3 separate regions of the Mus musculus genome follow, and all the other regions are reported to be linked to region 2. The links are microRNA targets in miRTarBase. Many come from high-throughput screens and were not tested one by one. Region 2 holds a microRNA gene; each other region holds the end of a gene's coding sequence.

Evidence for each region. Region 2 holds the annotated microRNA mmu-miR-1946a (AGCCGGGCAGUGGUGGCACACACUUUU, at 2,989-3,015, shown strand). A microRNA usually pairs through its seed, bases 2 to 8, with sites in the 3' UTR of a target mRNA and lowers its output. Matches are read on the target gene's strand: a 7mer-m8 pairs with bases 2 to 8, a 7mer-A1 pairs with bases 2 to 7 and ends in A, and an 8mer does both.
Region 1: miRTarBase lists Zbtb44 as a target of mmu-miR-1946a. Seed matches in the 3' UTR shown: 7mer-m8 at 2,207-2,213.
Region 3: miRTarBase lists Mga as a target of mmu-miR-1946a. Seed matches in the 3' UTR shown: 7mer-m8 at 4,453-4,459.

What each region holds. Positions count from the first base shown.
Region 1 is chr9:31,067,916-31,073,027 of GRCm38, reverse strand. Zbtb44 (zinc finger and BTB domain containing 44) reads right to left here. Exons shown (of 6, transcript NM_001115130.1): 6 at 1-4,283. The coding sequence ends at 4,273. Among named protein-coding and RNA genes, the nearest start is that of Gm17508, 12 kb to the left of the region's middle.
Region 2 is chr16:32,265,373-32,270,554 of GRCm38, reverse strand. It overlaps Mir1946a (microRNA 1946a), which reads left to right and starts at 2,972; the gene lies at 2,972-3,105.
Region 3 is chr2:119,964,559-119,969,670 of GRCm38, forward strand. Mga (MAX gene associated) reads left to right here. Exons shown (of 24, transcript NM_013720.2): 24 at 1-5,023. The coding sequence ends at 407. Among named protein-coding and RNA genes, the nearest start is that of Mapkbp1, 5.6 kb to the right of the region's middle.

The sequences.
Region 1 (5,112 bases), not on the chromosome of region 2:
TCTACTATCAAAATACAAAAAGACATCTGATGGCAACACTTAGCAGTGCAGTGAAAACTCACCTTCCTCCCCTACCTTGGGGCTGTTTGCTCCATGTGAGCTTTCCTAGGTCCTTCCCCCACCCCTAGTTAAGAACTCAAAAATCACTCCTTCACGAAGATGTATACTTCCGAGCTTGAAGGCCCTTGGGGCAGATGAGTGATGCAGGACAATGCAAGTTTCCAATTCACCTGTTCATTACATCTACAAATCAAAATCTCTTCAGTTAAAATTGAGGACCGAGCATTCATTTGCCATCATAAGAAATCATTCTCTGTGATCCTGGTAGAGAAGCCACCTGCATAGCACTGTATGGTCACGCACCTTGCAGGGACTCCAAAGCTAACAGGCTAAAGCTTAATCTGAAAATGGACACGCGCTCTGCAAAAGTGGCTTCTAGTAATTAGACTAAGAGAATAAAATAAGAGGTTTTTGTTTTGTTTTTTAAAGGAGTGAAAGACTTAACATAGCTTCCAAAGGAACAGGGATGAGTTATAAGACAGGAGAGCCTGGCTCAGCAGTTAGAAGGAAGCTGAGTTACCAGTGACTCAGCGAATCAGAGGCCCTGACTACTTCACTCTTAGTAAAACAGTTTAACAAACACAAGCATGTTTGTTTGTTTGTTTTTTATAGCAAAGGGAATGTATCTTAACACGGATCCTGTTTATCTATTGGGACTCCAAACGGTCAAACCTAAACAGCTTAGCACACTTTGTCTTAGCAAAACTGTGAACTTAAAAAAAAAACAAACACTCCACAAAAACCCAAAATAAAACCTATTAATATAATGAACTGTGGTTAAACTTGAAATTAAACTGAAAATAAAAATTAGGATTGTTTAAAATGGCCAATTAAGGGAAGTGGATATTAACATTTATCTACATCCATTTCTTGAAAAATTTAAACGCATAAAGTAAAGGTTACTGTCAAATTTCTGTTTCTGAGTTAGTGATTTCCTGACATTACACTCTGAAGGCTAGAGTTTGGAAATGCAAAGACTGACACGAGGAGCTACGACTCCTGACAACACGGGAAGAGCTTTGCTTCTAAAGCACATCCTATCTATTTGGTAGTTGGAAAAAAAAAAAAAAAACTGAAAACAAAGCTTTTCTTATATAAAATGCTTTGTTTTTTAAAAAGTAATTTATCTAGCATTCTAAAATTTAAGCCCTTTAAATATCACAAAGGTACCCTTGTTGGCCTTACAAAAGATAGCTACCTTTAAATATTCTAAACAAGAATGATTCTCTGTTTAGTTACCCTGGTGATTTCTATGACGGGATCGTAACTGGCTTTCATCTCTTCAATGTTTTCCATATGTTCTGGTGAAAAGTATACATCTAGGCATTCCTCTCTTAAATCAACTTTAAATAAACTTTAAATATTACTATATATACAATTATCTCTTGCAGTTGTATTTCCTATAACAGACCCATAAACAAAATATCCTTAAAAATGTAGAGTCTCATTGGAACAGAAAAAAGCCTTTGTATCATTTTATATTAAACACTGGTTAGGTAAGTTTATTAAAAATGTTTGGGTAGTAGGCAACTAACCATTTGTGCATTCATAGTATATTCAAATCTGTCACTAAGGTTGGCTACAAGCTTTGCCACTAGGGATAAAAATCCACAGGGAGGTGTGTCCTTCACAGGGAGGCTGCCAGGGCTGTCCTAACACACGACTCTTAGGATAGAGTAGACTCAAACACTTTCAATCAAAACAATCTAAAAAGAATTCTTCAAATCAATTCATCTCTGATTTATTCTCATTTCTTTCTTCCTTTTACTTTTTTCTAGCTCTTAACAACAAAACAAAACAAAACAAAAAACAAAAAAACCAAGACAAAACAACCCAATTTAGAACCAAGAACATTTACCATACTAAAATAGGATTCTAGTGAGTTTTAGGATTTCTTTATTACTAGGCACAGTTTTCAAAGATCATGTATGATAAAAAAATAAAAATGACTGACTTTCCTAGTTGGTTTTTCTGAAAGCTACCCACCTATGCTTGGGAGCAATCAGCCATGAGTCAGGTAAAAAACAACTGGGACTCAGGGTGGGGGTGTGACCAGTGACAGGGCACGTGCGCATCATATACAAAGTCCTGGGTGCAATTCTCAGTATCAAGAAGAAAAAAGAACAGAGATAGAAATTAAATTTCAGCCGGGCGTGGTGGCGCACGCCTTTAATCCCAGAATTTGGGAGGCAGAGGCAGGCGGATTTCTGAGTTCGAGGCCAGCCTGGTCTACAAAGTGAGTTCCAGGACAGCCAGGGCTACACAGAGAAACCCTGTCTTGGAAAAAAAAAAAAAAAAAAAAAAAAAAAAAGAACCCAAAAACAAAACAAAACCAAAAAACCTACAAAAAACCAGAAATTAAATTGCAGAATTAATAAATTTTAAAGAAACAAATTACTATAATATAAAAAGTAAGTAAGGTTTGGCATTGGGATAAAAGTCAGATCAGGTGTTTGACTAAGACTATAGTCTGATCTGGGTGTGGTGATGTGTGTCTATAATATATAATGGTAGCAAAGGTTGTTGGGAAACTGAGGCAAGAGGATGATGAGTTCTGGACCAACCTGGACTACCTATGATCCTGTCACAAAACAAAAGAGAGTGTCCAAAGTCAAACAAACAAACAAACAAACAAACAAAATGTTGTTTTTATCTTCTAACCCCATCAGGGGCTATCATAACGATAAACATTGGGGCTATTTTCTATATAAAAAATTACACAAAAGTTCATTACTCGTGGCTTCATAAATATTTTAGATCAAAGAGGCTTTAATGGCAAAAGATAAAAAAGTATATCCCAATCTAGAATATCATATAAATGTTATCGTCTGAGTAGCAAAGTTTTTAAGATTCTGGTCTTAACAATCCCTCCCTCCATGTCTGAGTCACAGATGATCACTCACAACCTCGTCGTATCTTTTACATTATTGCTTACATCTCGTGAAAGCTTTTAACAAACTTGGCAATACCTCAAAATATTTTGGAATAAGGACATTATATTGTTGTCATATGTGACCTTGTAAACAATCTTAATTGGGTTAAGAATGTAGCCTCAAAACAGAATTCTTTTATTTTGTCCAAAACAGCACAGCATCGACATCCTCAACAATACATAAACCTATATATAAAATATAGAATATCTTCACTATTTCTCCTTTATATGGCAGCACAATAGTATATGCAAATGAAAGTGCTGTTGGTGGGACACGAGGACACTTCTCTGAGCAATGCCCTAGTTAGCCAGGTGTCAGCATTCAATGACCAGGAAGAGAAAGTCTCAGGAGAGTTTCTGCAAAGCTGGGTATACGTACCTCGTTCTGCACCCTGCCATTCCACATGCAGCCTGACTCTTCTCAACCACACCTCTTAGCCTCTGGAGTGGTGCTATAAAGGTACAGGAAATACCTGCCTGATACTAATTTTTCACTATGAAAATTCAAAATGGCTTAAAAAAGAATATACTGGATTTCAGAAGTTATTTACCTTCATCTGAAAAAAACAAAAACAAAAACAAACCCACCACAAATACTTCCAAAACTACAGGGTTTATAACACCCTGCACTTAGGAGTACACATTTACTTAGGCCTTGTCAAACTGTTTAATAACTTCTCATTAGCCCTCTTCTCTCAGGAAGGTCAACCACAGCCTGAGTTCTTTTGTATCTGCTGCTGCCCACTTTTAACAATGGGAGGAAGAACTGCCATGTTCTAAGTCAGCTGCTTTTCCTTAAGTCTCAAAGTTTATGTTCTGTTTCAATGTTACCTTATTGTATACATACAGAAGCAATCTCTCAGCTATGAAAAAACAAAACAAAACATAGAACCCTCCAGTTTTAGGGTTTACAAAGGGAACCCTTCTTTAAAAATTAAATTAAATTTAAACATATGAGACCAAGCACAGGCACTTTCCAAAAAACCAAACCCCAGGCCAATCACAGAATTACTCAATAGTTATAGCAGGCAGCTCTGCCTTAGGGGGGTCATCCCTGGGCGCCTCAGCAGGAGCACTGGTCTTTGGCTGCTCATGCAGTTCCTCCTCCTTCTCTGTAAGCCCACCAAGAGAGCCCAGGGGAAAAGTGCTTTCACAATTCTGGGTTGAGGAGACCTGTGAAATCACAGGCATTTGAACAGAAGAGTTGCTTTCAAAAGTATGTTCTCCAAGATCATACTGAACAAGGGTCTCTTCTTGCTCCTGGTTTAAGTAGTCCGGTACTAAGAAATCACTAAATGAGAGGCAAAGGATAAAATACAAAATTAATTTTCAAACTATAATAAAGAGATATCATCTATAATACAAGTCTGGGGCTTTTCATTTCACTAATTATTCAATGAAGTTAATATAAATAAGCTTTCCCAAATATCAACTGAAGCCATTCAGTAGAACCAATGTGCATCCCACCTCCCTATGGGCAATAAAAAAGATTAATGATCACTTCCAGTGATTCTCTGGACACTTCAAAGGCCTTTCTGGATCTACATATAGGAGTCTGTATATAATGTGAGTGGCATTTCACTAAAGCAAGCATCATGTGACTAAGCCGAGTAAGAGGTTTATATAGACCTAGCTCTGTATTTCTTTTGTAATACCTCTTTGTAGAGGTTAGCTAAGAAGCTCAGTCTTTATGCATGCATGACCTTACATACATTTACTATAGGAAGTTGAGAGATGTAGAAATTAAGTTTTCACCTTACTATGTATGGAAAAAGTAGTACACTTTACTAAGAATTTGGAAAGAATCTCCTATCACACCTGGAGTGACCACTTAATAATTTGAATATTCAGTAGTAATGGACAAATTAAAATCTGTCTGTCTGCAAAGTAACTTCTAATGTCTTGTGTATATTTCCTAAAAAGTCTTCAAGGGTTAGAGAAGAGTAGTGTAAGATACAGGGTCCTATATGGGAAAGACACACAGGAGTGGTAAAACTGGACTATTTAATTCCTCAACAACTATGTCTAGTAAGTATTAGCTAGCTTTAATGATATAACCATACATTCAGAATCAGCACTCATTAAGTAGAATGAGCACCTGGTCTGGAGGGAAAAGTAAA
Region 2 (5,182 bases):
TTTCTTTCCTTCTTTCTTTCTTTCCTCTTTCTTTCTTTCCTCTTTCTTTCTCTTTCTTTCTTTCTTTCTTTCTTTCTTTCTTTCTTTCTTTCTTTCTTTCTTTCTTTCTTATTAGATAGCACTTTCTTTTTTAAGACAGGACTTTCCTTAGTCATTCTGAACTCTCTGTAGACCAAGCTGGCCTGTAACTCACAGAAATCTGCTGAAGGTAAGTACCACTATGTCCAAGTAACAGTACTTACCTGTGAGCCATCTCTCCAGCCCCAGGTTTTATATATTGATAGCTTTCTTACTAAATGAGGAACTAAATCAGCTTTTAAAGAGTGCCTTACTTCTTAAGGATGATAAGGATGGCTTAAAGTTAAAAATCTAACCAATGGTATAAACTCTGAGTACTATTGGGATCTTAGAGTAGTATTAAATAAGGAATTGATAGAAAAATACACATGGAGCAGAATTTCTCTGTGGTATGGTTGCTCAGTAGTCCTCTTTTCAGGAAACTAGCACAGGAGAACCTCCCCAGCCTATACATTCAAGGCCAAAAAGCTGGGCCCCATCTCACCCTTGGACCATTTCAAACAAACAATCCCCAAATTGTGTTATTTATTAAAACATGCAAACTCCAAAAATCATAGAGGATAACAGTAGATCACCTACTCCAATGTTGTGCACTGTCCATACACTGAATGATTTATTCTCACTCAATACTTACTGAGCATCATAAACAGGGAGTCAATAGATAAGACCTATGAATGAATGATGAGATGACAAATATCCTCCCTCCCAGAAAATACGCTAACAAAGAGGCAGAAGGTAGCAAAGCTGAAATACTGGGGGATAGCAAAGGAAACAGTCAGCAGAGTGGAGAGGCAACTGCAAAACGAGAGAATAGAATTACAAATCACAAACTAAACGAGGACCGAGATCTAAGACAAATATAAACCTCCAAAACCTTGGTAGAAAATCATAAAACTAATGATAATAACGCTATTTTATTTTAAGGTTTTGAGGTTTATTTTTATGTGTATGTGTGTTTTGGATGCATGTGTGTGATCTCCTTGTGCTTGCAGTGTTCACAGAGGCCAGATGAGGGCTCGGATCCCCCTGGAGCTGGAATTACAGGTGGCTGTTAGCGGTCATGTGAGAGCTGGGAATCAGACCAGGGTCCTTTGGAAGAGCAGTCAGTGCTTTGACTATTGAGTCATCTCTCCACCCCTGTAATGACACAATTTTAAAAGGGCAATAAACCTACCTGAGATTTTGGAACTGAAGGAAAGTGTGATGACTATTCTTGTCAACTTGAGTACATCTGAAGTTGAATGAAATCTAAAAATCGATTTCTGTGAGGGAAGTAGGTTGATCCACTTCTTTGTGTGTGTGTGTTGGTTGTTTTTGTCTTTGTTCTTGTTTTTTTTTTTTTTCTTTTAAAGATTTATTTATTTATTTATTTATTTCATGTATGTGAATACACTGTTGCTGTCTTCAGATACCCCGAAAGAGGGCATCAGATCCCATTACACATGGTTGTGAGCCACCACCTGGATGCTGGGAATTGAACTCAGGACTTCTAGAAGAGCAGTTGGTGCTCTTAACCACTGAGCCACCTCTCCATGTCTTTCTTTCTTCCTTCCTTTCTTCCTTCCTTTCTTTCTTTCTTTTCTTTTCTTTTCTTTTCTTTTCTTTTTTCTTTTTTTTTTTTTTTTTTTTTTGGTTTTTCAAGACAGGGTTTCTCTGTATAGCCCTGGCTGTCCTGAAAGTCACTTTGTAGACTGCCTGCCTCTGCCTCCTAAGTGCTGGGATTAAAGGCGTGCGCCACCACAGTCCGGCTCTCCATGTTTTTCAAGACAGGGTTTCTTTGTATAACATCCTTGGCTGTCCTGGAACTAGATTTGTAGACCAGGCTGGTCTTGAACTCACAGAGATCATCCTGTCTCTGCTTCTTCTGGGATTAACAACAATACCTGTTTGGTTGATCCACTTCTAATATGGATCTTTGAGATAAGAAGGCACGTACCTTTAATCCTTTTTGCTTTATCTTAGCCTGAAGCTCCAGCAGGCATTCCCTGGGAACCTACAGGCCACTCATGTCAGGAAATAGGTAGGGTGACTATAGGTCTTCATTTCTCTCTTTGTTCCTTCAAGTCAATCCTCCAGTCGCATCTCCAGTTCTGTAGTAGACCATCTGCTGCAGCCTTGACTTCCTCTCTGCCCTTTCCTCCAGTGGACCACACAGATCTTCCCTCTAACCTTTCTCACCACCACTCCCAACTCATCACTTCACACACACACACACACACACACACACACACACAACTCCAGCAGGCATTCCCTTGGAACCCTCTAGCCAAGCCTGGTGGAGAAGCCAATAGGCCATCAAAGCAGGTCAACAAAGGGCTTTATACTTTCATTCTTTCTCCTCTCATCCAAATCCAGAGGCGCCCCGTCCCCCACACCATTCCCTTAGTCTGTGGCCTCTCCTCACTCTCTGCCCCCATTCACAAGGGACTAAGCAGATTCTGGTGGAATACCCTGTTTTCCTCCTTCCTGTGGACTCCCTCAGACTGGACCCCTTTAATCCCATCCTCATTCCTAAGTAAATACATTGTACCTGGAGCCTCCAGTGACCAAACCTACCAGGATTCCAGAAGTATTTCCTACTAGGCAACTCACAGCCACCATGCTCACCTAAGACCCAGGCAGGGCAATAGAAACCAAGGAACAAAACACTCATCCCACAAAGACAAGTCCAGATATTGGCACCTAGAATTATAAACTTCCAAAGTCAATCCAGAGACATAGATGCCTGCATCTATAAAAACACAATAACAGCCAGGACAATATGCCTCTACTAGAGCCCAGCAACCCTACCTCCCCAGGCTCTGAGTATTGCAACATAGCTGAAGCATAAGACAAAGGCCTTAAACCAACCATATGACGGTCACAGAGGTACTTAAAAAGGAAAGGAAAAAATAACTTAAAGAAATCTATAGCCGGGCAGTGGTGGCACACACTTTTAATCCCAACACTTGTGAGGCACAGGCAGGTGGATTTCTGATCAAAGGCATGCGCCACCACTCTCGGCTTTCTCCTCTCCTTTTTTGTTAATCTCACAAATGGGAAGAAAAAGGTCACTGATCCAAATTAGTGTGGCCAAACTAATTAAAGCAAGCTTTTTTTTTTTTTTATCAATGTGCACTGCCCAAGGTGGGTTTGATATGAGGAAGATAAGGCTTTTATAGCTCAGGAGTAGGGAGGGGTTTGGTGGGGTTACAGGAGCAGAATATAACAAATTATACCCTTCTGAAACAAAGATACGGTTGCAAAGGTGGCCAGAACAAGGTAGCATCAGTAGTCATAGAGCCTTTTGAAACAAAGGTAGAGTTATAAGATGGTTATACACAAGTTTTTGAAATAAAGTTATGATTGCCATTCCTAGAACAAGCAGGACAGAATCATTTGTAGTTAAGCTTATAGGTGGGACATAGCCCAATCCTTGAGAAAATGAGCCTAGTTTGTCTTTGTTATAAGATGACTTTTAAGCCTAAGATGGAGGCAAGCTGGTTCTTTTTTTACCCTGCAGATTCTTTGCATATATACTATGGATTCCACTTTAGTATATTTTTGGGACTCCTGACTGTGTGAATAAGCAGGTCTCTGATTCTTGTGCCTTCTCTTGGGCTCTTTTCCTTCTGTTTTGTTTTGTTTTGTTCTGATATGTTAGTGAAAGATCCTGACAGAATGTAAAAGATCACAGAAGCCCTGAAATTGGCAAAATAGATTTCATTGTCAGCAGAACTAGCTTCACTGATTTAGAAAAATAGAGGTGCACAATGTTCTGGCTGCTCCTTGAACCCCTGTATGTGCCCACTGCTGCAGCCCACTGCCAGGTGTTTGTGATATTGGTTGCTGGGAAAGAGTCAGAAAATCTCCCCAGCAACCACAGCTGGGGCCAATCCAGAGTTGCTGCACCTGCACCAGACTCTTTCCTTGTACCCCTCCCATACCCATTTCTTGAGAAATCATTTTAGAATAGACATTGTTTAGATCTGGAAATCCCCTACTCCCTCCTTCTCCTTTCCCCCCTGAGGGCCTATAAAAACTGGGACCCCTTTCCCCTTGGGGTCGACTCCTCTACCTCTGCATGGGATACAAGTCGTCCCCAGAGCTCTGGCTTTCCCCAATAACGCCTTGTGTGGTTTGCATCAAGCTTGGTCTCTCGTGAGTTCTTGGGGGTCCACTATTATCCCCAGACTTGAGTGAGGGTCTCCCTTTAGGGGTCTTTCATTAGTTTTTGTTTTATTATTTTAATAATATTATAACTTCCTTTATTATTTTTGTTTTTTCGAGACAGGGTTTCTCTGTATAGCCCCTGGCTGTCCTGGAACTCACTTTGTAGACCAGGCTGGCCTCGAACTCAGAAATCCGCCTGTCTCTACCTCCCGAGTGCTGGGATTAAAGGCGTGCACCACCATGCCTGGCTTTATTATTATTATCTCTTAGAAGCCTGGTTGTTACCTGGAAAGTGGTGGTGCATCCCTTTAATCCCAGCACTTAGAAGGCAGAGGCAAGAGGATTTCTGAATTCAAGGCCAGCCTGGTCTACAGAATGAGTTCTGGGAAAGCCAAGAACTCAAGACAGAAAAATCCTGTCCAAAAAAAGAAGAGGAGGAGAAGGAGGAGAAAAAAAGAAGAAAAGGAAGGAAGGAAGGAAGGAAGGGATAAAGGAAGGAAGGAAGGAAAAAGCATATTTGTTTTCTAATGAGAGACAGAAAGAGGCAGATCTGGATGGGAAGGGAAGTAGGGAACTGTAGTATGTAGTCTTGTGTTCCTGGTTGTTGCATACACGTACCCTCCCAGGAGCTATCTCAGATCTGTGAATAAGACACATTTGTGGGGCTGGGGAGATGGCTCAGTGTTCTTCCATGGATCCTGAGCTCAATTCCCAGCAATGACGTGGTGGCTCACAACCATCTGTAGGAATTTGATGCCCTCTTCTGATGTGTTGAAGACAGCGACGGTGTATTCATATACATGAAATAAGTAAATAAATCATTAAAAACAACAAAAGACGTATACATATTAGCTCATTTTAAAACTGCCTTATGGCTCTATTACGCCTTCCACGGCTAGCGTGCCCTTACCTTTACTTCAGCTCAATACCTCATCCCTCAGCTTAGTTGCCT
Region 3 (5,112 bases), not on the chromosome of region 2:
TTGACCCTGAAATAAAGGATTCTCTTGTTTCCCATAGGAAATCTAGTGATGGAGGGCAGAGTACTTCTGGTCTCCCCGCAGAGCCTGAAAGTGTATCTTCACCTCCCATCTTACACATGAAGACTGGCCCGGAGAACAGCAACACAGATACTTTGTGGAGGCCTATGCCAAAGTTGGCCCCATTAGGTTTAAAAGTAGCTAATCCCCCCAGTGATGCCGATGGTCAGAGTCTCAAGGTGATGCCTGCCTTGGCACCTATAGCTGCCAAAGTTGGGTCAATTGGACACAAAATGAATTTAGCAGGAATTGACCAGGAAGGCCGGGGGAGCAAGGTGATGCCTACATTGGCACCTGTTGTACCTAAATTGGGCAACTCTGGAGCTCCATCAAGTTCATCAGGGAAATGAGCTTGTTCATCCTCATACAAAAGCCAGGCTGTGAGGGGAAATGAATTTCACCTCCTTTCTCTGTAGGCGTCTGTTTGTTTGTATTATGGAACTATTATCCTTGACTTAATTATGTGTGAATATTGATGGAGAAAGGAGGTGTAGGGTGCTGGTCCTGGTGTTTGAAATTCTGATCATGTTAAAAATGTGTTACCTCACTTGTGGTGCTGGGTCCCCTCATCTTCTCTAAGAAGGTGTGATTCCCTCTTGCCCAAGGAATTCATAACAAGATTCTGGCTCCATCAACTACCTTATTATTTTCCCCTGAGAAAATGCTTGAGACTTGGAATTACTATAGACTAAAGTATAAGTCATAGTTGTTGGCTCCAAAATCTGAGAATTATGATACAGTTGTGTGGGAAAAAAAAAAAAAAAGAACTTTTAGTTACTATTTCAATAGTAGGGCATGGTAGGACTGGGCATGGTAGTGCACACTTGTAATTCCAGCACTTAGAAGACTAAAGCAGAAGGATTGCAAGTTTGTGTCTACCCTGGCCTATCAAGGGGACAGACACACACACACACATACACACTTGTGGGGGCCAGGGGAGTAGGAAGAGAGAATGTTATAGTAGGTAGGATGAATATTATGGAATACCAAAGTGAAGGGATTTTGTCATTCAGCAGACTGTTTCATATCCAGAATAGTTCTTCCCTTACCCTTTCAGTCATAATTAAAAACCTAAGCTTTCTGGTAAAGTAGGAATATACTTTTTACTTTTACTATTAACATACTTATTTTCAGAGACTAAAAAAGACATACTTCTCCCTTATTTCTTGGGGTATCACAAAGATTCATTCATAATACCAGAGATTTCTACTCATTGTTTTTTGGAAGTAGACATAGAGGCAGCCCTTCCCTTTCCCAAATCATGTCACTCAAGAAACAGCTAAAATGAAAAGCAGTTTCTCCCCTAACCAGAGACCGTAGCCAAAATAAAAATTTGTGGGGCTGGGTATTTCCCAAATGAAACCAGCCTCTAGGTGCTTGAAGGTTTTGTTCACTGTCACCTGCACAGGATGTAAAGAAAAGGCGAGTCAGAGTGAGCAATCTTTACCAGGGAAGTAAGGCAGTATTTGAGTCACAAAGTATATTTTTTATCTGCTATCATGGCATCAATGATCTGTAGAGCTTTTTCACTCATTGGCTGTCAGGGTATGAAGGACTGACAACCTGTAAAGATGAAGATATTTATATTTTTGTATAGTTGTTTTCATAGATTTCTCAAAGGATGAAGTTTTCGACCTAGAAGAGATTTGTATTGAGTATAGAAATGTTTCCTATCTAGTTTGTAAATAATCATGGTGCATTTGAGGGGTCTCTCGGGAACTCGTGAGGCAAGAATCACTGTTCTGAAAATGTATAGACTGAGATGTAGCTGCTGCATTTGCCTTTCTTAAATAATTATATTTTGGAATGTAACCCGTTCTGTCTTCAATGACAGGATTTGCTTGTGTTGTAAAAACACTTTAACACAAGTGCTTCCGGTGCCTGGGCTGTGCCTGGGTGATTGTATTTCTTTTACACTACTGCGTCTTTATCCTAAGTCCCACTCTGTATCCTCTGACCTAGGTTGTGAGACCAACTTTGGAATGAATCTAGCCAGTGAATTACTTCTATGTTTGATTTCCTTTTTAGATTAACTCTGATAATCACTAGATTGAAATGATGAAAAACTTACACTGCAAATGGCAGTGGTAGTAAATCTTTCATTGGTTTTGCGCTGCTTGCTCTAGACAGGTCATCAGCACTTAACCTTTCCTGTTTACTACAAAAGCTGATAAAGTAAAAACAGTATTCCTCAGCTTCTCCTCTGTCCCTTCTGTCCTTTACCCAACTGACTTTATCCAATGCCTTAGCCAAGGAGTGCAGCACCTGTCGCCCTTGCTAGCAGCTGTCCTCAGAGACGCTAGTTCTTTAGCCCAGGTATAGTAGTTTCCAGTGGTCTTATTGCCTGTTTCTTTCCCGAGTGTTCTTCTGGCTTCCCAGAGCCCTTTTGGGTTTTGAGAGTCAGACAAGAAACAAAACAAGGGAGTGAATAATCCTCAGGAAACAATGGACCATTGTGGCTTCCGAATACTTTTTTCTCTTTTCTTTCCTTTCCTTTCCTTTTCTTTCTTTCTTTCTTTCTTTCTTTTTTTTTTAAATTTGAAAAAGCATAGAAAAAAAACAGGTCAGGGTTTATTCTTTATTGGAAGATACTTGCCTGTGTTTATGAAAGATGTACAAAGATAGAGATGAGATTTGGTTCAGGGAAAGCTGCAGATGTCATTACAAACTCCCAAGATACATTGTTCTTAAGACAAATTTAGGAGCTATCAGGCCGAATTTGAGGAGGGTTTAGTCTTTAGAACAATCATGTAGTCTTGACAAAAATAAAAAATCTCCCTAAACTCCTACCCTTTAGCATTTCATTAGGAGAAACTGATCTATTAAAATTATATGTATGATTATGAAAAGTGAATTCAAGTGAGAACATTGGAGGAACCTGGAAAAAGCTCCACCCTGACTAAGAAGCATGATCTCAGTCGACCAATAACTCGCCTTTTATACACCTGTAAATACATGGAATGTTTTTAAGGATATAATTATGTCAGATTTAGCATTTTCTTTTATATATTAAATATATATCTTTAATTTCTGCTTTTGAAAGTGATTATTTTTTTAGAAATAACAGAAGTTTGGCAGTTGAAAGGCAAGACATGTGAACCTGAAATAAACCAATTATACTAATTAAAGCAGAATTTGGTGTTGGGAGGTTTGTGCCTGGTTGAAGAATTCTTTATGCCCTCAGACATATTTGAGAGAGGGTTCCATTGAAGAGATCTTTTCTGAAGCTTCTTGACTGGAAAGCTTTCGATCTGTCATTTGGGAAGACCTTTGGTATTCTAGTCCTTGTAGCATGTCTCAATTGGAACTTCAAGATTATGTACAATTTGATGGCAAATATTTGCTGTTCCATAGTGAGAATAGTTTCATAATACCACTGTCTTTATCTGCTGCCTTGGGGAACAACAGGACAGAAACACAATCTTATGTCTGGAGACAATAGGTGTTCTTTTTAAATTTGTGTGTATATATTGGCTGTGTGTGCCTTGTTGTGTACATGGAGCTTACAGGACAACTTTGTGGAGTTACTTCTACTTCTCTCCTACCAGGGATCCAACTCACATTGTCAAGCAATCACAGCAAACACTTTAACTTACTTGAGCCATCTTGACAGCTTCATTGGTCTTCTTAAGACAAGATGTTAAGGGGTTTCATACTTAACAGAGTCTTCTTATGGAAGTCTTTTAAACATTGAACTGTCCTGACTTAAGGGAGTTGACAGATCAAGTTTAGTTAGTTGTATAAACTTCATTAAAAGTGTTTACCTTATATACTTTTATGATAAAAGTTTTTTGTGCCCCCAGAATTGTGGATAAAATTAATAGTAGGCCTTTTTTACAGTTTTGAAAATGTTTTGAACAGAAAAGACAGTAGACATCTATACATCCATTTACTTGTTTGTTTTTTGAGATGGTCTCACTATGCAACCTATGGCCTGGGATTCTGTGGAGACCAAACTGGCCTTGAACTCACCAAGATCCACCTCCCTCTGCCTGCAGGGATTGAAGGCATATGCCCATCTTTATATTTTTTTTTATAAAATTCCATACATTTTTCCTGACTGTACCAGTTATTTCTAGTGGAATTGTGTGATCAGTGCATCTTGAAGACAAGTCTGCAAAGTAGCAATGCCACTTGTCTCTAATAGAATTAAGCCATGGACAGTGTAGGCAGCTTGTTTTCAGGAACTTAAAGGCTTATATCCTTATTTCTTTTTCTTTTTTCTTTCTTTCTTTCTTTCTTTTTTTTTTTTTTTTTTTTGGTTTTTCGAGACAGGGTTTCTCTGTATATCCCTGGCTGTCCTGGAACTCACTCTGTAGACCAGGCTGGCCTCGAACTCAGAAGTCCGCCTGCCTCTGCCTCCCGAGTGCTGGGATTAAAGGCGTGCGCCACCACGCCCGGCTTAGATCCTTATTTCATGGAGAGTCACTGGTACTTAAAGGATCAGAATAAACTGTTTGCACAGAATTGTTGCTTTTGAAGAAAGCACTTTTAAGGGTCCTTTAATAACTTAATGTATCATTGCTAATTAAAAGTCCTTCCCTCCCAAGTGTGATGACTGAAGTTGAATTCTTAGAAACTATGAATGCCAGCTGTGTAATCTCAGCACTGGAAAGGAGCAGACAGGGAGGATTCTTGGTATTCTCTGGCCAGCTAGTCTAGCCTAATGGGTTAGCTCAGGCCAACAAGAGACCTGTCCCAACAACTTGGCGACATTCATTAGAATTCGCTAGAAGTGGTCCTCTAGTCTCCATACCCACATACAAGTGCAGATGCACCTGCATGTACACAGAAATTAACTCATTTATCAATGACTTTAGTACATAGAAAATTAAAGCTCGGGTTGGTAAGATGACTTGTAAAGGTGCTTGTCAACACTGATGACCAAAGTTCAATCCCCAGAAACCATATAGTAGGGAAAAAAAAAACTTGTACCATGGTAATATGTGTACAACCCCCCCGCCGCAAAAAAGCAAAAAAACTGACCAGAACCACATAGTTAGACCTTGTCTCAAGGAAAAAAGACTTGATTCTATGCCTTTAATTCCTGCATTG